Canis lupus familiaris: one gene and its partners. The protein of the gene in region 1 purifies or fractionates together with the protein of each later gene. This does not show direct contact. Links are inferred from orthologs where the notes say so. Each region holds a gene or a part of one and is shown in the gene's direction. Other genes may lie near its edges. The genes, in order: VAPB, TACC1, OSBPL10, ARHGEF12, LSG1, AKAP11 and ACBD5.

Region 1 (3,500 bases):
TCAGATGGGTGATGTGGGCAGCAGAATTGTCTGGGCAACTGTGTGTACCGAAACATTGAAATCTGTTGTGTTGTTGGATTTCAGTAGACTTTCTCTGTCCTGAAGGTAGAGGGAACTCTGTGTCCCAAAGATGGATGTCAGGGATATTTGCATTTTGATTCCCTATTTGCTTTTTTTTATGTGATATGATAGGGGAATGTGAATTCGCAGAATGTGAATCTGTCTTCTATTGGAGTGACTGGTGTGGCAGAAGGAGTGGGTGCTGGGTTGCACTTGGCTCTGAAGTTTTGCTGCTTCATGACAGTGTGAACTAGGGTTTAGGACATGTGCCCTTTATCTGCTGCAGAGGGTAGTGGATAGTAAGCTTTAGAGGAAACCATAAGATGGGGCTCAAAGGCCACAGAACCCGATGAGTGCCCTGCAGGAAAGGCGCTTGTGGAGGACAGCACTCGACCTGGTAGAGGACGAGTCAGTCCTTTGTGGTGGGCCACCTGCATTGAGTGTCCCTCCTTCATGGTGTGATCTCAGTCAGGTTAGTTAACCTTTCTGTGCTCCAGTTTGTTCACTTGAAAACAGGCATTAAAATAATCTCTGCAACAGTACCTACCTCTTAAAAGTTAAATGACATACAGAGCCTAACATACAGAGCCAGGTTTCTGGCACATGGGAGACACTGAGTTTGTATTAGGGCTTCTCATGGTCAGGGCTGCAGGAGGCATTTGCTGCGTGTGAAAAGGTGTGTGTCGGAATTTATCCAGATGTGTGGTTTAGCCAGAGCCTTGCAGCGGATCAGCGGATCATGTATTTCAAAGCAGCCACCATTTCAGAAGGGTGGAAAGTTCTAAGGAAGCCAGTAGGAACAGGGAGGCACCTCCTTAGTGCAGTGGGCGTGACTTGCCGGAGGGAGCCTGTATATGAGATTCCTCTAGGTTTTTGGGGTGTAGGCTGGTTATGTTCTCCCGTGCTGTGATTGTGCTGGTTGTGAAAATTTCCTGACTCTGCATTGGCCAAATTGTATTTGAAGCAATACATGAATACCTTGATAGGGGAAATGGGACCAAGAAAAGCTAAAATGAGACTGTCACTTACATGTCTTGGATTATTCTTCTAGTTTACTTTTTGAAAAGATCATTTTGCTGTTTTGTCTTGAGCAAAAAAGCATATGGTATTTGTACCTAGTTTACTTCGTCTGTAGGGCCTATATCAGACCTCTGTGTCAGGTGGGCAGTTGTGAATGATCCAGGGGCTAGGAATCAAAAAACCTGGATCCTAAGCCCAAGTCCGAGCTCTCCCACTACTTGCTCTTTGATTTGGGCGAGTCCCCCAACTTCTGGATCTCAGGTTTGAGACGTGAAAAGTGGAGAAGACACTAGGCATGTTGCCCTGCTGGCCTCACCTGGGGTGTTTATAAGACTCAGATGAGAATCCTGGTAAACTGCTTTATAACCAAGGTACAAGTTTTAACATAACAAATGGCTGCGGGTAACCAAGCTCTGACCCTCCTAATGAAATATTTTCTTTCTCAGTGATGTTACAGCCTTTCGATTATGACCCCAATGAGAAAAGTAAACACAAGTTTATGGTTCAGTCTATGTTTGCTCCGACTGACACTTCTGATATGGAAGCAGTAGTAAGTACTGAATGCTTCTTACTTTTTTTAGTAATTAAAAAAAAAATGATGAGGTACAGAATTTTGGGTGCATGCATTTCAAAATGTGTCAAAGTTGTTTTTAAAGGGGAATGGTGTTTTCAAGGAGGTTTGTACTTTGACTACCTTTATGGTTTTTCCTCAAATTTTTATTTTAACATTTTATGTAACTTTCCAGAATACTATTCTTTTCTGACTCTTTTAAAATCACAGTTTGCTTCAGCACTTCCTTGTTCTGATGAATTGTGTTTTAAATGGTTTGAGGATTTCTTCCCTTTATACCCCCTTTACATCCTCCATAGGAAAGGGTACTTCTTAGTATAGGGAATGCCTCTTACCACCTCTCCCTGTCCACCACCCTGACCCCCACCCTGCAAGAGCCCAGAGGGATGTGAGACAATGAAATACTTAAATGTCCTCCAGTGCCAAAGGGTTTTTTCCTTGCTTGGTTCTGGTAAGCATGATTTTTTTCCCCCTCCCTAATTTCCCTCTTTTTTTTTTTCCTGCTTAAATACATGTTTAACCCTTTCTCTAATTTCAGTAAAAATAAGATGACTTTGTTTTTATAAAATGAATAAGTGATATTATTGGTTTTCCTGGGAAAAGGTTATAATGGAAATTCTTCTTAAAGTAAACTTTTCCACATTTGAAGAAATCGGCGGACATTCTGCTGTCTGCAGGAATCACAATGTACAGATAAACCTTACCTTACACAGCCCCCACTAGACTGGAGAGTCCTCACATTCACACATGGGAAGAGGAAGGCAAGGTTCCCTCAACATCTGCATCATCACTTTCCAGCTCACCACCCCCAGGCTAGGAGACTGGTCACCTGAGGAGTACCTGCAGTTGGGAGGCAGTGGTGGCTCACAGAGCACCGTGGTTTTTCTCTTTCAAGTTTTATGCAAAGGGCTTTCTATGCACCACTTCCCTTTGTGTCCCAGTGTCCCATTCAGCCTTTTCTGTTAGTCTTGGAAAAGCACAAATGACCATCTTTGTGGATGTTTAAGTTTGGGGCAGGAGATGAGGGATAAGCCAGATACCTTGAGATTTGAGAGAGATGAGTGATAATAGACTACCTTCCCCTTTCATAAGAATGATTATTGAGGCATTTACTACTTTCTCTTTTATTCCCAGAACATGATGTGTCACTTCATGTTAATTTGTGTGAGCAAGGAAATGTATGGCAAATACAAAATTTGGAATATCCAAGAATGTATTCTGCTTGGCTTTTGCTGCATGGCTTAGTGACAAGAGCATGGGCTTGGGTGTCTTGGGTGTGGGGCTGAGCTCTGCCTTTTACTAATGTTGTGGCCTTGGGCAGTTTTCATTAACTCTCTATAGGGTTGGGTTACCTGTAAAAGGGGGATAAAAACGTAGTTTACACTGGTCGTGGGATTCCGTGTGCTGTGTGTGTCAGACACCTGGCACAGTCTCCAAAGCTGTTGTATCTGAGCACTATTATAGGCCAGGCCCTCTATATACAATGAGGGTGAATTTCACTCCTTTTTATGATAATTTTCATAACAGTTAAAATTTTTTATATGAAATGTATATGGTAGGAAAATTTGGAAATATACAAATAAGCACAAATAAAACTAAAACTGACCTGTATTTATTTATTTATACTAGACCTAATCACTGTTATTCAGAGCCTTGTGCTATTTCTTTATTTTTAACTTTTTTTTTTTGTATTTTGATCTATAGAATAGAAGTGGAAAAAATTATACAGTGACTACTCCTATAACGTTTATCTAGATTCACCATTTAATACTTTGCCACATTTGCTTTATTTCTCTTATAAACTTTCTTTTTTTGCCGAACCACTTGACTCTAAGACACAGACTTCAGG
Region 2 (3,500 bases), on another chromosome or scaffold:
GGGATTCGATCCCGGGTCTCCAGATCTCACCCTAGGCCAAAGGCAGGCGCCAAACCGCTGTGCCACCCAGGGATCCCCAAGATATTTTTAAAACAATGGGATTTATGAAATTGAAAAATACAAAATAACTCAGTTGGAGTCTAAATCAGTGTATTTCACTTGTGTTTGGATTATAGGTTATTGAGAAGAAAACCTTGACTTAAACAAGTCAGTAGTGATGAATGAGAATTTGAAACACTTAGTTGAGTTAAACTGTCCTGGAAGCCTGGAAGAGAAGCAGAAGGAAATTTGTGTTTCAGAGTTGAGTTACTAACAGTATCTAACAATTTGTCTAATTTCTTAATTTTGCAGATTTAAAATTTATAGAAAGTATGTAAAGTGGTTCTTCATGAGTTTGAAACTTTGCACGGAAAATATAATATTGCAGTATTTAACAGCATCATTTTAAAAACTCTCAGGTGCCTTTGTGGCTATCTCTGTTGATTATTCACTGTTTCAAGGCAAATTTCTTGTTTTATATGTTCTCAGATTCTCCAACACCAACTTGGCATCAATAGTTCAGTTAGTTCTGACTATCCACAGTTTCCATGGGCCCCACAAATTAAGTGCTTATTCCCACAAGACTCTGAGCCTCCCTTCCCACCAACTTCATTCAAATGCCAGTTGCATATGCAATGCAACAGTACAATTTCAGTACTTCCGACCAACTGGCTGTAAATGTGCAGGTTGCTACAGCCCTCCTCTTCAGATTTGGTAATTTGTTTAGATGATTCTCAGAACTCAGGGCACAAAGGACAAAGTGGGGTGAAGGTGCAGAGCATCTCTGCCCTCTCCTCTCTGGGTATACCACCTCTCCAGCACTTTGAGGAGGTCAGCAACCTGTAAGCTTCCCAGGCCCTGTTGTTTAGGGGTTTTTATGTAGGTTTTATTACATGGGCATGGTTGATAAATCATTGGCTATTGGTGATTAGACTTCACTTCCTGTTTCTTTCCTCCCCTGAGGTGAGGGTAAGGTGGGGCTGAAAGTTCCAATCCCATCATCCTGGCTTGGCCTTTCCAGTGACCAGCTCTCATCCTGAAGCTACCTAGGGGAAGAGAGAATCCGAAGCAGGCTCCATGCCCACCACAGAGCCCGATGTGATGAGAGGCACCATCTCATGACCCTGAGATCATGACCTGAGCCAAAGTCAGGAGTCCAATGCGTACCCCGCTAAGCCATACAGGCACCCCTTTCTATTTTTAAGAAGACATTCTTTTGAAATATGTTAAAGCAAATCCAAGATATCATGTGTTGAGAGCTTTTTAAAGAGTACCGTATTTGGGGATCCTTGGGTGGCTCAGTGGTTTAGCACCTGCCTTCGGCCCAGGGCATGATCCTGGAGTCCTGGGATCGAGTCCCACATTGGGCTCCCTGCATGGAGCCTGCTTCTCCCTCTGCCTGGGTCTCTGTCTTTCTCTCTCTCTCTGTGTCTCTCATGAATAAATAAATAAAATCTTTTTTAAAAAACTACAGTATTAATAACAGTTAAATGTACATTTGAAAACAGAAACAGAACGGACATTGGACATTGGTAGAGTGTCTGAAGCATCTGTGCAGAACAGTTTATAAGGCACTGCCTTAATTCTAGTCATAAAGGGGTCATGTGAAAATATATCCAAGTGCTCTAAAAAACTTTTCTTGTGCTCAGTTTTTTGATCCTGGATGAGGATTAGGGTTAGAGGGGCATCACGGAGTTCCCTTTAAAATCCCAAGATACCATGATCATACCAATTTATTTGGTTTTTGCTGCTGTTCTTCTATAGTTCAGGTATATAACTCAGGAAAACACTATCTTAGTTTGTGCTTTAAAGAAATACCCTCATGTACACCTTCCTAATTCCAGCATTTCTTCTAATAAAACCCAAGTTAAAGAGGATCTTCGTTTTTCACAAGTGCTTTGAATACCTGGCCCAGCTCAGTGACAGAGCTAAAGAAGAAATAGCTTTATTATTGTATGATTCCTATCTTAGTAAAATAAGGATTATTTGTTTGTTGTTGTTGTATGTGTTGTTTTTAAATAGCCTCATTTTTTTTTAAGTCTTATTAAATCCAGTTGATTTTTCTTTTTTGAGTAAGCTCTATGCCCAGCTTGACCCTGAGTTGTATGTTCTACCAACTGAGCCAGCGAGGTACCTCAGGACTATTTGTTTTTTAAGCTATTTCTGTATTTGATTTTTCAAATTAGTTTTTTTATTTGGTTCTTTCAGGTTTTTTTAAGTCTACAGAGAAGTTCCTCTGAGCAGGCCATGGCGGGTAGGCCATGGTGGGTTTTTCATTTAATTTTGGTTCAATAATTTAAACATTATTCTAGGGAAGAGGGAATACTAGTTTTTGACATCCAAAGATGAAAATCTGTTTACTAAAAAAAAAAAAAAAAAAAAAAAATCTGTTTACTGCATAACATTCAGACCCTGAAGCTGTCAAGAAGTGCCTGGAAACTGTGGTGCCAGTTCTGACCCCTCTGCCTACACTGGCAGCATCTCACGTTTTTTCCAAACCAGTTATTTTAACCTAAGGAATTTTAATAATCACATTAATATGCTTTGCAATAGTCTCTCGATCTATTTAGCTCTTTCTTCAATAGCTCTATTTTGTATAATTATTGTTTGTATAACTGAGATGAAACACGTATACAATTTGGGATAGGAAAATTTATTTAGAGTGTAGTACTAGCTGTTTCCTTTTAGACTGCTCTGCTGACCTTGCTGAACCTTAATAAAAGCAAAGAGGGAGGAACTTGCTGCTGGTCTATGTGAATTCAGCTAGTAGAGAATATTTACACATGCCAAAAAGATAAGTCTTTAATAGATGGCCTTTGTGTTTTGTTTTAGAATCACAAGAAGTTGATGAACAGCTGGTAGCAGAAGTGGTTGAAAAATGTTCATCTGAAACTTGTTCTAGAACCTCAGAAAATGAGGTAGCACAGCAGGCTGTTGATTCTTACTTGGTCAAGGATTTCAAAGAAGAACCTGAACATGATAGTAGCAGAATTTCAGTAGTGAGGCCATTTTCAATAGAAGCCAAGAATTCCACGAATATCCCAGCAGCTCTAGGCACAAGGGCAGCTTATGGCTGTGTAACTGTGGTCTCGGGGGAGGCTTCGCCCTCCAGCATACCAGAAGCCATCCTGGACAAGGCAATGACAGAAGGCACCATGGGAGTTACACTGGAAACTTCCACAGAATCTGATCTAAAGGCTGGCAGTTCCTCTCCAGAGCCTGTTCCCAGCAGAAGCAAGCTAAGAAAACCCAAACCTGTCCCTCTGAGGAAGAAGACAATCGGCGAATTCTTAGAAACTGATATTGCCCTAGAGGGCACGCCTCTCCCCCAGGCATCCTATCAATTCTGTCCTGATGAGATGGATGGGAACACAAGTTCTTTGCTAGAAGGTGCCAGGATCCAGAAATCTCCCCCTGATACTAAGGAAACATCAAGCACTCCCAGCAGTGACACCAACGAT
Region 3 (3,500 bases), on another chromosome or scaffold:
TCCAGTGAACTCTCACCTGCCTTGTCCACTGAGGGAAAGAAAATGCTCCCGTTAGCCAGAAGCAGGATAATTGTGTTGTGTGGGGGGTAATGGGAAGAATTTGGGGTGGCAGTTGGGAGCCTCAAGTTTCCTGTGTGGTGCCTTCGCTCCCCATCTGCCGTCTCTGTCCCCCGACCTGGAGACCCGGGCGTTGGACTCCATCACCCGGAGGGGCCCTCTCCGTCCTGACAGTCAGTCATTTGGAGTGTCAGTGGCGTTGTGTCCCCTGGTTATCTTGTTTTAACTCTTCAGCTTCGGAGTTCAGAAATGCTAAGTTGGGGGGAACCGCCTTCTGTTCTTGCCCTTTTCAAAAGTATATATGGAGAGGGTGACCCTGGTGGCCGGGTCTTTCCTTGTGATGCCAGGCTCGGGTACACGCTGGAGGATGCCCCTGTCCGGAGCACCGGACTTGCTGCCAGAGAGGCCCCAGCCCCCAGGGGCAGAGGGCGCAGCTGAGGCCGCCTAGCGACCCTCTCGGCAGGGGCGTTTGGGGCTGGCCTCCCGCCCTAATTCCGCCCTTTCCCTCTCGGGTTCTCTCATGATCACCGGGCCCTGCCGGGGGGAGGGAAGGAACAAGAAATGGGGAGGTTTCGGGAAGGCCTGGAGATGCAGACATTTGTGGCTTCTTTTCTCTTTCAGTTGTTTGGCCTCATTGGGGGGTGTCCCACGGCTGATTAAGCCCCTAGTCCCCGCACAGCCTGTCGGGCAGAGCTCCCAGGGTGACCCTGGGCAGCCGGGGGGCAGGAGAGGGAGCCATGGTGAGAGTGTGGGGCTGCGCTTGCCTCCCCTTTACTCTGCCAGTGGCCGCCTGCTGTGGAGGGAGCCCCTGGCCCGAGAGCCCCCTTGGAAAAGCAGACGCCCTACAGCACAGCAATGGCCATTGAATGGTGACCTGTCCCCACAAAAGATGTAGGAAGTAATCACAGTGGCCTCTGAAGGCCATTCTGAGCCAGAATGTCCATTACCTGGCCAGCTCAGAGCCTTGGGGCAGCCAGAGTCTCAGTTTTGTCAAGTTTTGGCTGAAGGAAAATGAAGAAATATCCATTGATTTGCATAGTTGTGTCTTTTCTTCCAGTATATTGTAAAAGCAAAGCAGAAAGAGACTTATAAAAAAATATAAAAATCACTCAATTCTAACACCAAGAAATACATGTTAACATTTGGGGTCTTTTTGTAATACTAGATTTGTGTCACATGTTTGACTTTACATCTGGCTGCTTTTTCTTTCTTTCTTTCTTTCTTTCTTTCTTTCTTTCTTTCTTTCTTTCTTTCTTTCTTTCTTTCTTTCTTTCTTTCTTTTTTAAAGATTTTATTTATTTATTCATGAGAGAGAGAGAGAGAGGGAGGGAGGCAGAGACACAGGCAGAGGGAGAAGCAGGCCCCACGCAGGGAGCCCAATGTGGGACTTGGTCCTGGGTCTCCAGGATCGCACCCTGGGCCGAAGGCGGTGCTAAACCGCTGAGCCACCCAGGGATCCCCTGGCTGCTTTTTTACTTAATGAATGTACGTACTCTTTCCTCTAATGTAGTATTTAATCTCAAGAAAAGCGTTAATAAAGATAGCAGAGTCCCCTCTCCAGGGGGCTGGACTTTTTCCAGCTTCCTCTGAAATCTCTGTGCTTTGCTGATCTCCTGTCTGCCTGTCTGTCTCTTTCTCTCAGGACATCCCTCTGCCATTGTATCTACACCCTTTGCTAGGAGGGGTCTGAGCAAGCTGAGGTGGAGGCAGGGTTGCAGATCTGTAAGCCTTTTGACATTTGCAGTCAGAGAGTATTTTCTCGGGAGTTGGGGACTGTGTGAAGGAAGGAGACTCAGTCTTTAAGGAGGGAGTGTAAGCCAGCTGCATCGCCTTGAACTTGTGTGGCTCTTCTCTCTCTGCCTCCCTCTCTTCTCTTTCTGTCTCTTTCTCCTGGAGGGTGTTAGGGAGGAGCCAGCAGGCCATGGCTAGACTTCCAGCTTCATGATCCTGTGCTGAGATGCTCCAGGTCAAAGTGAGCTGTGCCTTGCAGCCAAGTGATTGGTATTAATACCCAGTAATGAAGTCATTTTAAGATCACTCTAGAACAGTGAGGAACAGGCTCGCTCTCCTCCGCCTATCAGCGATAGTAATAAGGGACCTGCTTTCCAGCCCAATGTCACAATGGCCTTCATTTGCTTTAACTGACTTCCTCATTGGGGTTGTGGGGCACCCGATGACCACATGCATCCTCTCTGGATCAACAAGGAGTCTCGGTCCCGTCCCTGGCAGAAGCATCCAGATTTCTACTCCTCTTTTTGATAGTGATGTCAGTAACAATCCCATGAGAAGCCCCTGTACCAGTCCATTTGCCAGAAGATTCTGTATTAAGTGTCAGCCTGTTTCTTTGTAACTTCTGCTTATTTCTTCTGGCCCAGCCTTGCAGAGCAATCTCCACACATGGGCCTTCCTCTGCATGGCAGCTCTCTGGGCATTTGCTTGCTAGCTGATTGGTCTTGCCTCCCAGAGACCTGGGCCATGGGTCCTTTCCTCACTCCTGCTCTGCCTTGATCGTGTTGGGATTTGGATGCTACTCTTCTAACAGAGATCTCCAAATAAACCCTCTTAGTGGTGGTGTGTGCTGGTCTACCTGGACCCCCTTTGATGCAGCACCAAAAAGCCCCATGTTTGTGGGGACACACCGAGCACTCCCCTGGGTTGTCTGATGTCAGGAAGAAAAGGAAGAAGTCCTTTTGTGCTCTTTTCTTCACATCTCTAAGTAATAAGGAGTTAGTAAAAGAGGGTTTTGTCTGGGGATGGTGACAGCAGTGGAGGGGGAAGTAGAGACCGCTGTTCTAGTCCAGATGAGCAGAGAAGCAAGCCACGCAGAACCATCTAGTCCACGAAAGTGGGGTGGCATCATGCCACCACAGCAGCCACTTCTCCAACCTTGTCTTCTTTGATGTCATTTCCCCTAATCTGTCGCTTGTATATGAATCAAAAGACAGCGTTCTCTGGCTTAAGCCACGATGGATTTGCTTGGTGGTGGTTGCAGCCTTTTCCACGTAATCTCGGGGTCTCCTGTCTGACTTTGTCTCCTTCCGAATGTAGGTGGTGCTTCCCACATTTATCCTGGAGAAGCGATCCTTGCTGGAGATGTACGCGGACTTTATGGCACACCCAGACCTGCTGCTGGCCATTACCGCGGGAGCCACGCCCGAGGAGAGAGTCATTTGCTTTGTGGAGTATTATCTCACAGCCTTCCATGAGGGCCGCAAGGGGGCCCTGGCCAAGAAGCCCTACAACCCCATCATCGGTGAGACGTTTCACTGCTCCTGGGAGGTCCCCAAAGACAGGGTCAAGCCAAAGAGGACTGCTTCCCATTCTCCTGCTGGCCACGAACACTCGGTAGCCGAGGACCCTTCCACAAGCTACAAACTAAGGTTTGTGGCCGAGCAGGTGTCTCATCACCCACCCATCTCCTGCTTCTACTGTGAGTGCAAGGA
Region 4 (3,500 bases), on another chromosome or scaffold:
TCAAAGCAAGTTGGAGAAACACCAGCATCTGGAGACTGCATAGATAATACCCCTCGGACTCCCAATACCATCTTTGATTTCCCACCTCCTCCCTTAGACCAAGTGCAGGAGGAGGAATGGGAAGTGGAAAGGTGATTCAGTGGTATCTTTGGAGGGTGGGGATGTTAGGAGAACCCTCAGCTATTTCATTGTATATTATTCCTACACTTAGTAGCATTTCCCCCACATGTGCTTTTTGGGAAAGTCCTAGAACTTATTGGTAGTAAATATTAGGTACTGAAATGTTTTATTTTATTTTATTTTTTTAAAGGATTATGTATTTATTCATGAGAGAGACACAGAGAGAGGCAGAGACATAGGCAAAAGGAGAAGCAGGCTTCCTGCAGGGAGCCCAATACAGGACTTGATCCCAGGACCCTGGGATCAGGCCCTGAGCTGAAGGCAGATTCTCAATCACTGTGCCACTCAGGTGTCTCTACTGAAGTGTTTTAAATTTATTTTGTATCAAATCATTTGACTATCTAGAAGAATTATTTATCCGTCACTGTAGTTTAACCCAGTTTTTAGTATTGCTGGCATAAATTTCTTTTTTCTCCTTTTCATTGAAGTGTAGTTGACATACAGCATTGCCTTCACTTTGGGTATAGGACATAGTGATAACAAATGTATACCTTATGTTGTGCTAGCCAAAGGTGTAGCTGCTGCCTGTCATCATAGAACACCACTGACTGTATTCGCTATGCTGTACCTTTTGAAATTAGTGTTTTTGTTTTCTCTGGGTAAATACCCAGTAATGAACTTAGTAGACTGTACGGTATTTCTATTTTTAATTTTTTGGGGAACCTCCTTACTGTTTTCCACAGTGGCTGCACCATTTTACATTTCCACCAACAGTGCACAAGGGTTCCTTTTTCTCCACATCCTCGCCAACACTTGTTATTTCTTGTCTTTTTGATACTAGCCATTCTGACAAGATGATATCTCCTTGTGGTTTTGATTTGCATTTTCCTGATGATGAGTGATGTTGAACATCTTTTCTTATCTTGTTGGCCATTTGTATGTTTGGAAAATGTTCAGGCATAAATTTCTTGATTACTGTTTTGTTTTCTTGTTGACCCTTTGTTCCCCATTGTTTTAGGGTGACTGAGCATGGGACACCAAAACCCTTTCGAAAGTAAGTAATCCTAAAGTAGCTTTCAATAGAGGCATATTTTAAGAAATAATATCTTTTTTTCTCTGACATCGTAGTTTTAAAGGAAAGGAAAACCTGTATACAAATCTGTTAGTATAAAAGAAAATTCTTAATAAACACACATCATTCAAAAGATATTTATAGAGGTATATATAACATAGATAAGTCATTTTGTAGGAGAGGGTGATGTTTCAGGCCCTGTGCTAAGCAGTACTTCAGAAATATGACTTATTTACTGTAATAGAAAAACTTGTTCCATTTCCCATTGTCCATCTGATGTCCCCAAATAGAATTCATTGTTGTTTTTTGGTTTTTGGTTTTTTTCATTCAGGTTTGACAGCATAGCTTTTGGAGAAAGTCAAAGTGAGGATGAACAGTTTGAAAATGACTTAGAGACAGATCCACCCAACTGGCAACAGCTCGTTAGTCGAGAAGTGTTACTGGGCCTAAAGCCTTCTGAGATCAAGAGACAGGAAGTAATTAATGGTGAGTTTAATTAGACTTTGTTGTTGTTCACATACAGTGAGTTTTATTAGACTAAAACAAGCCCCCAAGCTTTGGAGTTGGCTTCAAAATTTCTGCTAGCCTTTTGTTCTATACAGAGGGGAGTTAAACTAGATAGATGATCCTTGAGCTTTCCAACTCAAAACATGCAAATGATTCTGTGTTCTTAATGGTAATTTAAAAGGAAAAGGTGTTTAGCTTTCAAGATGTTTAAGATTCATAGGATTATAGATCTTGAAGTTGAACAGTCATTAAGGCAGCCTGGTCTCATCGTTAAGTTATTTTTATGCATAGTATAAATGGGGAAGCTCAGGCCCAGGGTGGTTGAATGAATCAAGATCATATAGCTAGCTGATAAATGATAGGGACAAAACTGGGAGTCAGGTGTCCCTTTACCCTAGTGCAGTGTTCTTTATTTTGCCCTAATATATATATGTGACAAAGATGTGGGTGACATGGATGCTGTGCCCTCCACTATCCTTAGGATGCGATTTCAATAAATACCTTTCCTGTGTCTGATAACTTTGAGACATAGTGAAATAACAAGTCTAGCCTCAGAAATGAGGGTTTATAGGCAAATCAGATAACCAAAAGTACTATTATTTTGAAGAAATAATAGGCTAAATGGTGTTTGGGCTTACTGCTTTCTGATGTTATTAGCTATGATTGGTGAATAGTGTTGTGAAAAGACAAAAGGATTTTGGAGTACATTGTTAACTTTAAAGATTTTATTTATTTGTGAGAGAGCAAGAGAGAGAGAGAGAGACAGACAGCACAAACAGGAGAAGGGGCAGAAGGAAGGGGACAAGCAGACTCCCTCCCAAGCAGGGAGCCCAATGTGGGGCTTGATCCCAGGACCCCAAGATCATGACCTGTCAAAGGCAGACACTTAACCAACTGAGCTCTCCAGGAGCCCCATTGTTAACTTTAATATACAGAATAGTTTTGGGGTTTTTTTGTTTGTTTGTTTAAAAGATTGTATTTGAGAGAGAGAGCACAAACAGAGGGCATGGATAGAGGGAGAAGCAGATTCCCCACTGAGCAGGAAGCCCAATGCGGTTCTCCATCCCAGAACCCCGGGATCGTGACCTGAGCTAAAGGCAGACGCTTAACCCACTGAGCCACCCCAGGGCCCCCAGAATAGTTTTGAATGATATTTTTCATTTGCCAGCACTCAGCTCTTAGAGCCGGTATGTAGGAGGGTCTCATGCAATCTAGAAAGTGACATGAGAGATACTACATCCTTTTAAAACTATAAATAATTATTATAGAGCTCATTTGCTGCTTAATTCCAGCTAGAGCCTGTGTTTGGTCTCACGGAATTATTCAGAACGAGGTAACATTTCATGTTTCCTTTTTTCTCTGCTTAGAATTGTTCTACACTGAAAGAGCTCATGTCCGAACACTAAAGGTTCTTGATCAAGTATTCTATCAGCGAGTGTCCAGGGAAGGAATTCTGTCCCCTTCAGAACTACGGAAGATTTTTTCAAACTTGGAAGATATTCTTCAACTTCACAGTAAGAAAAATCTTTGTCCCTAACATTTTTAATAGATGAAAGATTGTGAGTATATAAAAGCATCATAACAGTAAACTTTTCTAAGTGCATCCATGTTGTATGTGAGCATATAACATAAAGAAGTGATCAGATCATTGAACATCCCCCTCCCCAGACGCTCATCCACACCATTAGCCTTTTGTATATGAAGTGCTACCACAGGACTTAGGATCTAAAGTTAATGTCAAAGATGAAAAATATAAATACCCTTGGAAATTTCTTATCAATTGTAGTGTATATGTTTTTAA
Region 5 (3,500 bases), on another chromosome or scaffold:
TTTGATAAATAAGGCAGACTTGTTGACTGTTGAGCAGCGGAGTGCCTGGGCCACATATTTTGAAAAAGAAGATGTGAAGATTATCTTCTGGTCGGCTTTGGCTGCAGCTATTCAACCAACTGGGGACTCTGAGGTAACCTGGGGGGCTTTTTCAGATTGTGTTTCTGGGAGGAGGATTTCAGTAAGCTTTGTTTTTCTCACTGAAGGTTTATGGGAATCCAGGGTTTTTGTTTGTTCCTTAAATGTTCTGATAGTAGGATGACCTATAGAAAAATGAGTCACAGGGTTACTTTTTCTGGCCATCAAATAGTCTGACATCTCGGGCTCTGTGTTATAGACTGATGGTTTTTTTCTTTTTTTTTTTTCTTTTTTCCTTTTTTAGATTTTTGAAAGGAAATTGTATAGGAAGCTTCATAATGACCTTATAATTGTTTTTAGCAGGAGGCAAGTACAACCAAAGTATGTACCTGTACTCCTCAGGACGTGATTAGAAGTTCTTTCGACATTGTTTTCAAAACAAACAACTGAAGTAATTCTAAAGATATACTGTGTTATTTTTTTTTTTTTTTAAGATTTTATTTATTTATTCATAGAGACAGAGAGAGAGGCAGAGACGCAGAGGGAGAAGCAGGCTCCATGCAGGGAGCCCGACGTGGGATCCCGGGACTCCAGGATCACACCCTGGGCTGAAGGAGGCATCAAACCTCTGAGCCATCCAGGCTGCCCTGTTTTTTGTTTTTTAAAGATTTTGTTTATTTATTCATGAGAGACACAGAGGAGAGACACAGGCAGAGGCAGAGGGAGGAGCAGGCTCCATGTGGGGAGCCCGATGTGGGACTCAAGGATCACACGCTGGGCCGTAGGCAGACACTCAGCCAGTGAGCCACCCAGGTGGCCCTACTATGTTATCTATTAACTCAAATTTTACAGAAATGGTTTGGGTTTGGTCTTTTTGTTGTTTTATTTTGTTTTTTTAAGTCCCACACCCAGTATGGGCTTGAACTTACAACCCCAAGATCAAGAGTCACGTGCTCCACCACTGAGCCAGCCCTCAGGTTTATTTTCTAATAAAAAAAAATACAACTATTAGCTAATAATGACTATCAAATGAAATCAGTAGTAGAGTCTTAGAGCTAGGGAAACCTGGGTGACTCAGTGGTTGAGCATCTGCCTTCCGCTCAGGGCATGATCCTGGGGTCCTGGGATTGAGTCCCACATCGGGCTCCCCCAACAGGGAGCCTGCTTCTCCCTCTGCTTGTGTCTCTGCCTCTCTCTGTGTCTCTCATGAGTAAATAAATAAAATCTTTAAAAAAAAAATCTTAGAGCCAGAAGAGACTTAAAGTATCTTTTTTCCTAGCCTTTTCCTTTCCTTTTCTCATATCTGTCAGCCGTCTAGAGATTATTTTGTACGTTGAGCTGAATGTCAGTGAATACAATGTCCTCCTCTTGATGAGCTCACAGATTAGCTCTGTGAATTCCTTCCCTCACCTCCATGGCAAAGTCATATAATCTTTTTTTTTAACTACATTAAATGACAGAGACCAGCTAGCCCCCTCTTTGTCTACATTTAGAAAGTTTTTCAGTTTAGTGAAGCTAAGTCAGCCTCCCTAGCCTTTGATATAAGGACTCTTTCTTTGTCCCCTTCGTTTTCTCTGTGTATGTTTTCTGGGTTCTTATTCATCTTGGACACGTTATCTGGGGCACTCTTCATCTCAGATGCCTATCTGCCTAATCAGGAAAACACTTAAAATTGGTGGCACCTAATTACATATGTTAGGTATTCAGAGGGACAATTGATTATTCCATGTCATCCGGATCCTCCCAGTAATTCTGTTTTTGTTAATTCACTGTATCTCAGAGGAGCTATGTTACACTCTTAGCTCATTTAATCTGTAAACAACCAAAAAGACTTAAGTCTCATCACTTAAGTCTCTCATGTGGAAAAGGTTTTTCATCTTATTTTTACCTCAACTTAGGACAGTACGGTTCCTCTGAAATACTGTTCATGATTTGGGGCTAAGGTAGAGAATTCATTTTGGTTGTGTAATTTGCTTTTCTCTCCTAGCTTTGAATATGCAAATTTTGTGTTTGTCCTTCTGATACTCTTTCCAGTCATCGGCAACATTGTTAAAACCGGACCAAGGAGAGAGCTCCGTAACCTTCTGTGAACTTAACTGAGCCCTCTGAACCAAAGGTTCTGATGTAATGAGTACAGATGTGTTCACAAGGATATAACAATAGTAATTATTCAGTTGTTACTCCTGTTAATAAAAATCCATAGAAAGCTTATCCTGTGCCAGGCACCACTGTCCTAAGCAATTTATACATTGTCTTCATTTAATCATCCCAATAAGAAACATAAATGCTTATTATCTTCAGGTAGTCTGGCTTCATAGTTTGTCCTTTTTTTTTTTTTTAATTTTTATTTATTTATGATAGTCACAGAGAGAGAGAGAGAGAGAGGCAGAGACACAGGCAGAGGGAGAAGCAGGCTCCATGCACCGAGAGCCCGATGTGGGATTCGATCCAGGGTCTCCAGGATCGCGCCCTGGGCCAAAGGCAGGCGCTAAACCGCAGCGCCACCCAGGGATCCCCATAGTTTGTCCTCTTAAACATTATTGGCTTCAGTTTGTCTTCTTAGCCATTATCTCTATTGTTTCAAGTCTTTACTGGAAGCTGATGTTTTACTGAAGTTTTTAAATATTTATCACTGTATGGCTTAGCCCTGATGTACCAACCCAATAACTGTCAGAAATGGAAAAAGAGGGATCCCTGGGTGGCGCAGCGGTTTGGCGCCTGCCTTTGGCCTAGGGCACGATCCTGGAGACCCAGGATCGATTCCCACATCGGCCTCCCGGTACATGGAGCCTGCTTCTCTCTGCCTGTGTCTCTGCCTCTCTTTCTCTCTCTGTGACTATCATAAATAAATAAAAATTAAAAAAAAAAAAAAAAAAAAGAAATGGAAAAAGAGGGGATCCCTGAGTGGCCCAGCCGTTTAGCGCCTGCCTTTGACCCAGGGCGTGATCCTGGAGTCCCAGGATCGAGTCCTGCATCAGACTCCCTGTGAGGAGCCTGCTTCTCCCTCTGCCTGTGTCTCTGCCCCTCTCTAACTTTCTGTGTCTCTCATGAATAAATTAAAATCTTAAAAAAAAAATGGTAAAGAGGAGCACCTGGGTGGGTGGCTCTGTAGTTGAGCATCTCCCTTCAGCTCAAGGCGTGATCCCGGGGCCGTGGGATCAAGTCCCACATCGGGCTTCCCACGGGGAGGCTGCTTCTCCCTCTGTCTATCTCATGAATAAATAGGTAGTCTTTAAAAACAAAAAGAAAAGAAAGAAAGGAAAAAAAGATTACTTTCTGCAACTACTAATGTGATATTCCCTGAACTGTTAACCAAGTAGAACATTCCATTTTTGCATAATCTGTTCTCAGGGAACCCTTGCTACTACCTTCAGTTGTCTTCTAGGGTTCACCAGCTACCTTGTAGACCTGCTCCCGTGTAT
Region 6 (3,500 bases), on another chromosome or scaffold:
ATTTTGTGTTAATTCACTTTTTAAAACCAAAATTTTGGTTTTGTGTACATATTAATTTTTGTAATTGCCTAGCCTAATGTGGGGAAACATAAGCTGCTTATCACTGCGAACTAATGTGCTTACTAATTATTTTAATGATTAGAATTTTAAATCGCATGTTTAGGTTTTAATCTGAAAAATTAAATTTAGTATTGTTTCTGAACACAGTCGCTTATTGTTTCTTTTTGCTTTGCTGCAATGTTAGGATATCGTTTGCTTTCCTCTTTTGATTAGATAGTTTAAGGTGTCTGTGTGGCATTAGTGACTGGCCCACCAGACAGGTGTATTGCTCGATTAAGCCTTGATTACTCAAAAATCTGATGAAAATGGATGTTATTTGCCACCTACTGAATTATACATAATGTATGAAATGAAGGTAATTGACATAATAAGGGTATTTTGAAATCAAGAAAAAAAAAAAAAAAGAAATCAGAAAACATCTTTTCTCCAAGTAGTTAGAAAAGGTCTATTTGGGATTATGTTTGGTGCCTGTTATTTCAGTACCAAATCCATCTGTCTAAAGAGCTGAGAGAATGTTAACGGTAACCTGTGATTTTTTTAAAATTTTACCCAAACTGAAGAGTTTTGGCTTCTTACAAATTATAGCCCAAGATTTGCCTAAACATGAATTTAATCATGAAACTTCTTGAGGCATTCATCTACTGTCCTAAAAGTCATTCTGTTGTGTCCATACGTGAAATAAATAGAAATTTAGACTATTTTTCCTGATGTGTGGAGGCCAAATAAGAAAACTCCCAAACACCCGAATCCGTCGGTAGCCGTGATGGTTTCTGCCTCCACGGATGCCCCCCTCCCCGGGGGCAGCTCTCACCCGAACCTCCCACTTACCACTGACAGAAGCTGTTCCAAGGAAAACCCAGGTCGTCTTTACTATTCATTTTCTGGTTCAGCTCTGTTCTTTTCTTCTTCTGGCAGTAATGGTAACAGCAGTAGCTGGAGCAGTCTTGGTTTAGAAGGAGATTTGTATGAGGACAATTTATCCTTTCCAACATCAGACAGGTTGGTCCGGTCCAGAAACTTACAAACTGATGAGTCTTTCACACTAATGCATGATGTCATACTCTGAAAAGAACGTGGGTTACAGTGCCAGTATGTATCAACCTGCTTTCCTCCTGTGTTTGGACTTGATCCTGCTTGATAATTTACATCTAATGACAAAATTCAATTATGCTAAGATACAACTGACCTCTAATTGCAAAATGTGTTACATCTATGCATGTAGTGCTCCGCCTGCTATTTTTCATCCTACCAATTACTATTTCATTAAAAAGAGCTTGCTTCCTACAGGATTTCTGGTTTTTGTTGTTGTTTTATTTGTTTTTGTATGTAATTTTACTTCATATTTAAGGAAAGCATAGGAAAAAAATTTACTCTGTTAAAAATATGTACATGACATCAGCAGAGGCATTAATGAATATTCATGGCATTCTATGATAATTCAAATGCTGTGTTATCCAGAACCAAATTAGTAGACTATTTTAACTTTAAATTATTTGAAATCAAATTTGATCATGAAATTACTTGGTGTTCTGTATCACGGTAAGGTAGGCCTTCTTGGTTACTGATGACCTACCTGTTTAGGCATCGTTTACAATTCAGATTTTAACGTGAAATGGTGTGAGAAGCAAAGCTTCCTTTTAAATTGTCATTTCTTACCTTTTTAAATGTCATATATCATATCGTAACATTCATTCTTTTCCATGTTTTAAGAATTGGTTTTAGTACCATTATTTTAATTAAAGCTTTTTTTTTTTTAACTGCTTCTGCTCTTTTATTTGAAAAGTGATGAGCCAGATGATAAAGATGAAGATCCTGAGGATGATGGAGAAGGTAAATGACTGTTTTTCAAAGTGTTTGCATGTTTTTTTGTATAAGGTTTCCTAGAAGAGTCTTCACTTCGTGCGTTTTCATCTGTGGGCCTCCAGGTTATTATAAATTAGGGTATTTGCAAATCACAACAGTCCTGAACTAATGTATCCGGTGACAGGTCCTTTATTGAACCATTTGTACCATTTGATTGCTAAACTAATGAAGTGTACCCATTGGTGTGAAAACTGAATTACTTAAAAAGAGTTATTCAGTTATTTGAGAGGGAAATTTATGATAATCTCTCTCTGTGTAATTATCTTTTTTAAAACATAAAACCCTTACATTATAATATATAATTTATTAAAATCATGGCATATGCTCTAGTTTTATCCTTCCAAACTAGTAACTTCTTAAATTAGTGTTTAATGTTGATCTTACATAAATCAGAAGGTAAAAATTAAAAGATATTTTAAGATACATTCTTCCCTCTCTCAGTCCTATTCCTGAATTCACAAATAGACATATTTGAAGAAAATATTCAGTTCTTCCTTTGATGAACACAGTGCCAAATATCTAAATACCAGAAGTCATTGGTAACAGAGTTCTGGACCATGATTTGTAATCCTTAATTCCAATATTAGAGTATCTGAGTGAATGTAGAAACTTTCTATATTGAAGCTGAATTTTCATTCAGCTGGTTTATTTAGATGGCTTATTTTTTTAAATTATGAAAATACCAATAATGTCTTCTATAGAGCAGCACCTAAAAATATTTATAGTGTTTGAGATATTTGTTTTTGAGCTAGTGCTTTTTTTCATCATTTCCTTAGAAGTAGGGCAAACTGAGAAAAATGCCTAAATGAATTCTTGAAATGTACTTTATTAACACCTGAGTGTCCAGTTAGTTTTACCTCCAGTTATGCCTTTCTTATTTAGGGAAGTCATGTACCCATTTTTGAGCTAAAATCCTCAGACTTGAGGTGATTATTTTTTAGTCCCAGTGCTTCTGCTAAGTTAGACATTCTGTTTTTAAGTAGACATTCTTCATATAGGGCTTCTAGAAGTAAGTTTTTGTCATTGGATATGACATAGGGATAGGTCAATATTTTTAGAGATACAGATAGGCTAGGTAATATTTGCTTTATTTTGTTGACTGAAAAAAATGTTAACTTTGTCTAGGAAAGTTGTGTCATGTCTGGTATCATGATATCATGGTGTACCAGACCCCTTTTTTGATTGAGAGTCATTGAGGGGAGAGGAGGGAAAAGGCAGTACTTTTTTTTTTATCTTAAGAGAATGACACAGATCTGTTGTCTAAGTGAAAACATTAGGGACCAACACAAATCCTAGAAATGATTAGTAGTAGTCTAGAATGCCCTGCAAACTTTAAAAAAGAATCAGGGACCGTCACCAACAAATTTCCACGACTGGCACAAACTGACGTGACGTCTGCCAGCATGCCCACTGTTCACCTCAGTGTGGGAGGGCACTTACTTGTGTGAGCTCTGCTTTTAGCTCAGCCCTCTTTAAGCAGGAGTGATGATATGGGTCTACAGGTCATTAGTTTTATAGCCAACAGCGATTCATCCTTCTTTATGTTGAGAACATAATTTTCATAAAAAGAAACTTGT
Region 7 (3,500 bases), on another chromosome or scaffold:
GTAATAATTTTGTATAAAAATAACATACAAACAGAATGTAAAAAATTTTAAAACACAAGCAAACAGGAAAATAAAAATAATCTCTATGCTTAGTATCTCCAGAAATATCTTCTTTAACATTTTGGTGTGTTTCCTTCTATTCTGCTTTTGATGCATATAAATATTTTGCAAAAATGAATTGTATTTGATATGCTATTTTTATTTTATTTTTTAAAAGATTTATTTATTTTGTTAGTTGAGAGAGAAAGCACGAGTTGAGAGGAGAGGCAGAGGGATAGGGAGAAACGGACTCTGCTGAGCAGGAAGCCCGATGTAGGGTTTGATCCCAGGACCTTGGTATCATGACCTGAGCCAAAGGCAGACTCTTAACCAACTGAGCCACCCATGCCCCTGGATATGCTATTTTTGAACTACTGGTTTGTTTGTGTGTTTGTTTTTCTTTTTTCATTTTATAATAGATTGTGAAACTTTTCTCAAGCCATTCTTTGTATTTTCATAATATATAATTTGTAAGGGCTGTAGTTATAAATCATCCAGTTGTATATATGTATATACGTATCATAATTATTTTGGCATTACCTATTATAAAACATTGGCATTCTGATTTTCCTTGTTATGAAATATTGCAACTTATAGTACTAATGCATACAATAAATTTTTAAAAGGTTACCTTTTATAAAAAGGTTATAGGTATGTTAGAGACATGTATGCACACTGATTTTCAAAGAAATTGATGTGTTCAAAATTACAAAGGTAGGAAGTGTGAAATCTCTTTTATCTTGGATTGATTCTTTTTCTATCACAGCACACACTGGTTGACTTTAGTCAAACTTCCTTATCCATTAAGAAATTGAAATTTGGCCAAGAGAGTTGAATTTCTTTTTTTTTTTTTTTTTTGAATTGAATTTCTTAATATTGAAGTTTCATTAAGCAGACTGTACATTTAACTTTTTCACTTATGCTAGGCAGTTTGATTTGTCACTATCCTTGTTTAGAAAATACCTTATTAATAGTTGCATAATGCAGCTATTCTGTATTTTCATATATTGCTTTTTGAAATGATATTTTCCAGTTAGTTACATCTAGAGCATATTTGTTCATTTATCCTTTTATTTATTGAACTATGTTAGGCATTGTTATTAAAGTGTAACAATCTCCAGAGTTTTTTTTTTTTTTTTAAGATTTTATTTATTTATTTATGAGAGACACAGAGAGAGAGGCAGAGACATGGGCAGAGGGAGAAGCAGGCTCCGTGCGGGGAGCCTAATGTGGTACTCCATCCTGGAACCCCGGGATCATGCCCTGAGCCAAAGGCAGACATTCAACTGCTGAGCCACTCAGGTGCCCCAAGAGTTTTATTTTCTTTTATTATTATTTTTTTCTTTTTAAAGATTTATTTATTTATTCATTCAGAGAGAGCGAAGAGAGAGGCAGAGACACAGGTAGAGGGAGAAGCAGGCTCCATGCAGGAAGCCCGATGTGGGACTCGATCCTGGGTCTCCAGGATCACACCCCGGGCTGCAGGCAGCGCTAAACTGCTGCGCCACTGGGGCTGCCTGAGTTTTATTTTTTTTTTTTAATTAGAGGACTAAAGCAACTTACAGAGCCATGACATTTGTTTCTATAAGACAAATAAGTGATTATCTGAACTATTAATGAAATATTTAAAAATCACTATTATTATAACTGAGCTGATTTATAGCTTTAGATTGTCAATTGTATTCTCCAGGTGATCTGTTTTTGATATGTTTCCAATAGGTTCATTTCAGCCAACAAATGAAATGATGCTCAAGTTCTATAGCTTCTATAAGCAGGCAACTGAAGGACCGTGTAAACTTGCAAGGCCTGGATTCTGGGATCCTATTGGAAGATATAAATGGTAATTTCATATAGGGAGCTATGAAAGGAATTTTATTTTAATGACATAATTATCATATGACTTATTTATGTGGTTACATATTATTCTGAGCAGATACTGTTCTAGCGTATTGGATCCGATTTTTATCCTCCGCGTTCTTTTAACACAATTTCATATGAAGAGAAAAGTCTTGGGGAAGAGAGGAAAACAGTAAAACCAAAAAGGACAGGTGTATCAAAGATAAAAAAATCATTTTCAGGTAGTCTTTCCTTTTAGGAGTTTTTTTCATTTTATTGTAAGAAGAGCAACTCCCAAGAGCAGTTAAACTCTCCTGCCTCTTTTACCAAGAAAAATAATGACTTTTACTTGCCAAGTGACACTGTTTACTTTGAGCCTTTAGGTGATAAGTAACTAGGCACATGCTGTGCTAACTTTTGGTCTGGGCTATCACTCTTGTCCCACTGTACTTGAATAGAAATTTGATTTTTAATATACATAAGAAAGTCGTAAAATAGCCAGAGAAACCTCCATAACATGGACTGTACTTTAGGAACAGAGTATGCTAGCTGGTGTAGCAGATCTTAAGAGCCACACATTTTGATGGTTAAATTTATTTACACTGAATTGGAAGTCCTTAAACTCCTTTGAGGATTTCTTAGTACTATATTTTCCTCTAAGTTCTTTGTGAATAGTCATAAATAAAAGGTTAAATGTAATAGCTGTCTGTTAGTTGATCTGTTTTAAGACAAGTGATTTACCTTACGATTTTTCCCTCAGAATTGACCATTGGTGGATTTAAACTGCTTCTGGAAAAAATGTGTAAAAAGAAAGAGTTTCATTATAGGCAAAAATTTCAGAGGACTGTTGTCCTTATCTAGGGGTTTAAAATGTCTTATGCAAAAAAAATAATAAAATAAAATAAAATAAAAAATGTCTTATGCCTCACATTTTTGTTTCTAAGAAGTAGGAAGCCACTTTTATTTTTTGAGTATATGTTAGACTCTTGTTTAAAATTAATGGAAACTTTTAACCAGAATTTCTGTTCATTTAAAACATGGCCATGATAGTTCATTTCATATAGAGTCTTTTAAAATGTTCGTTACTGTCACCATTCTTTATCATACAAAATTTTTGAAGAGTTCTTAGCAAATATTTTTCAACAATATATAGTATCTACTCTATGGTATATATAATAGTCTCTGTAACTTATAGTTTATAATTTACAGATGGGCTACATATTTACTACTTTTAAATAATATTTAATTTGACAGTTTATTTTCTCTGATACTTTTTTTTAAGATGATACTTTTATTTCTTTTTTTAAGATTTTATTTATTTATTCATGAGACACACACACACACACACACACACACACCCCAGAGGCAGAGACACAGGCAGGGGGAGAAGCAGGCCCCATGCAGGGAGCCTGATGTGGGACTTGATCCCGGGACTCCAGGGTCATGCCCTGGGCCTAAGGCAGGCGCTAAACTGCTGAGCCACCCAGGGATCCCCTAAGATGGTACTTTTAAAGAGATCCTTTGGAAGCATAATATTTTTGTATAGGCTTTAAGAAGAAAGCCTGTTTTAAATTAATGACCCTATAGCATTGACTACAAATTGTATTCTGAGCAATTGGAAATTG

What was found.
Region 2: the proteins of VAPB (region 1) and TACC1 purify together in Homo sapiens (affinity purification with mass spectrometry; 3 studies listed by BioGRID and IntAct, counting the BioPlex papers as one, with this or other methods). This does not show direct contact. The link is inferred for Canis lupus familiaris from reciprocal best matches to the Homo sapiens genes VAPB and TACC1.
Region 3: the proteins of VAPB (region 1) and OSBPL10 purify together in Homo sapiens (affinity purification with mass spectrometry; 4 studies listed by BioGRID and IntAct, counting the BioPlex papers as one, with this or other methods). This does not show direct contact. The link is inferred for Canis lupus familiaris from reciprocal best matches to the Homo sapiens genes VAPB and OSBPL10.
Region 4: the proteins of VAPB (region 1) and ARHGEF12 purify together in Homo sapiens (affinity purification with mass spectrometry; 3 studies listed by BioGRID and IntAct, counting the BioPlex papers as one, with this or other methods). This does not show direct contact. The link is inferred for Canis lupus familiaris from reciprocal best matches to the Homo sapiens genes VAPB and ARHGEF12.
Region 5: the proteins of VAPB (region 1) and LSG1 purify together in Homo sapiens (affinity purification with mass spectrometry; 3 studies listed by BioGRID and IntAct, counting the BioPlex papers as one, with this or other methods). This does not show direct contact. The link is inferred for Canis lupus familiaris from reciprocal best matches to the Homo sapiens genes VAPB and LSG1.
Region 6: the proteins of VAPB (region 1) and AKAP11 purify together in Homo sapiens (affinity purification with mass spectrometry; 3 studies listed by BioGRID and IntAct, counting the BioPlex papers as one, with this or other methods). This does not show direct contact. The link is inferred for Canis lupus familiaris from reciprocal best matches to the Homo sapiens genes VAPB and AKAP11.
Region 7: the proteins of VAPB (region 1) and ACBD5 purify together in Homo sapiens (affinity purification with mass spectrometry; 4 studies listed by BioGRID and IntAct, counting the BioPlex papers as one, with this or other methods). This does not show direct contact. The link is inferred for Canis lupus familiaris from reciprocal best matches to the Homo sapiens genes VAPB and ACBD5.

Annotation. Positions count from the first base shown.
Region 1 is NC_049245.1:43,969,102-43,972,601, forward strand, and holds part of VAPB (vesicle-associated membrane protein-associated protein B/C), read left to right. Parts: intron 1-1,526; coding exon 1,527-1,630; intron 1,631-3,500. UniProt on the Homo sapiens protein: Endoplasmic reticulum (ER)-anchored protein that mediates the formation of contact sites between the ER and endosomes via interaction with FFAT motif-containing proteins such as STARD3 or WDR44.
Region 2 is NC_049237.1:27,450,074-27,453,573, reverse strand, and holds part of TACC1 (transforming acidic coiled-coil-containing protein 1), read left to right. Parts: intron 1-2,871; coding exon 2,872-3,500. UniProt on the Homo sapiens protein: Involved in transcription regulation induced by nuclear receptors, including in T3 thyroid hormone and all-trans retinoic acid pathways. Might promote the nuclear localization of the receptors.
Region 3 is NC_049244.1:13,246,347-13,249,846, forward strand, and holds part of OSBPL10 (oxysterol-binding protein-related protein 10), read left to right. Parts: intron 1-3,105; coding exon 3,106-3,500. UniProt on the Homo sapiens protein: Probable lipid transporter involved in lipid countertransport between the endoplasmic reticulum and the plasma membrane.
Region 4 is NC_049226.1:13,568,684-13,572,183, reverse strand, and holds part of ARHGEF12 (rho guanine nucleotide exchange factor 12), read left to right. Parts: coding exon 1-131; intron 132-1,138; coding exon 1,139-1,174; intron 1,175-1,523; coding exon 1,524-1,678; intron 1,679-3,066; coding exon 3,067-3,213; intron 3,214-3,500. UniProt on the Homo sapiens protein: May play a role in the regulation of RhoA GTPase by guanine nucleotide-binding alpha-12 (GNA12) and alpha-13 (GNA13). Acts as guanine nucleotide exchange factor (GEF) for RhoA GTPase and may act as GTPase-activating protein (GAP) for GNA12 and GNA13.
Region 5 is NC_049254.1:31,813,509-31,817,008, forward strand, and holds part of LSG1 (large subunit GTPase 1 homolog), read left to right. Parts: coding exon 1-133; intron 134-3,500. UniProt on the Homo sapiens protein: Functions as a GTPase. May act by mediating the release of NMD3 from the 60S ribosomal subunit after export into the cytoplasm during the 60S ribosomal subunit maturation.
Region 6 is NC_049243.1:8,448,249-8,451,748, reverse strand, and holds part of AKAP11 (A-kinase anchor protein 11), read left to right. Parts: intron 1-975; coding exon 976-1,059; intron 1,060-1,843; coding exon 1,844-1,890; intron 1,891-3,500. UniProt on the Homo sapiens protein: Binds to type II regulatory subunits of protein kinase A and anchors/targets them.
Region 7 is NC_049223.1:4,726,527-4,730,026, reverse strand, and holds part of ACBD5 (acyl-CoA-binding domain-containing protein 5), read left to right. Parts: intron 1-1,758; coding exon 1,759-1,879; intron 1,880-3,500. UniProt on the Homo sapiens protein: Acyl-CoA binding protein which acts as the peroxisome receptor for pexophagy but is dispensable for aggrephagy and nonselective autophagy. Binds medium- and long-chain acyl-CoA esters.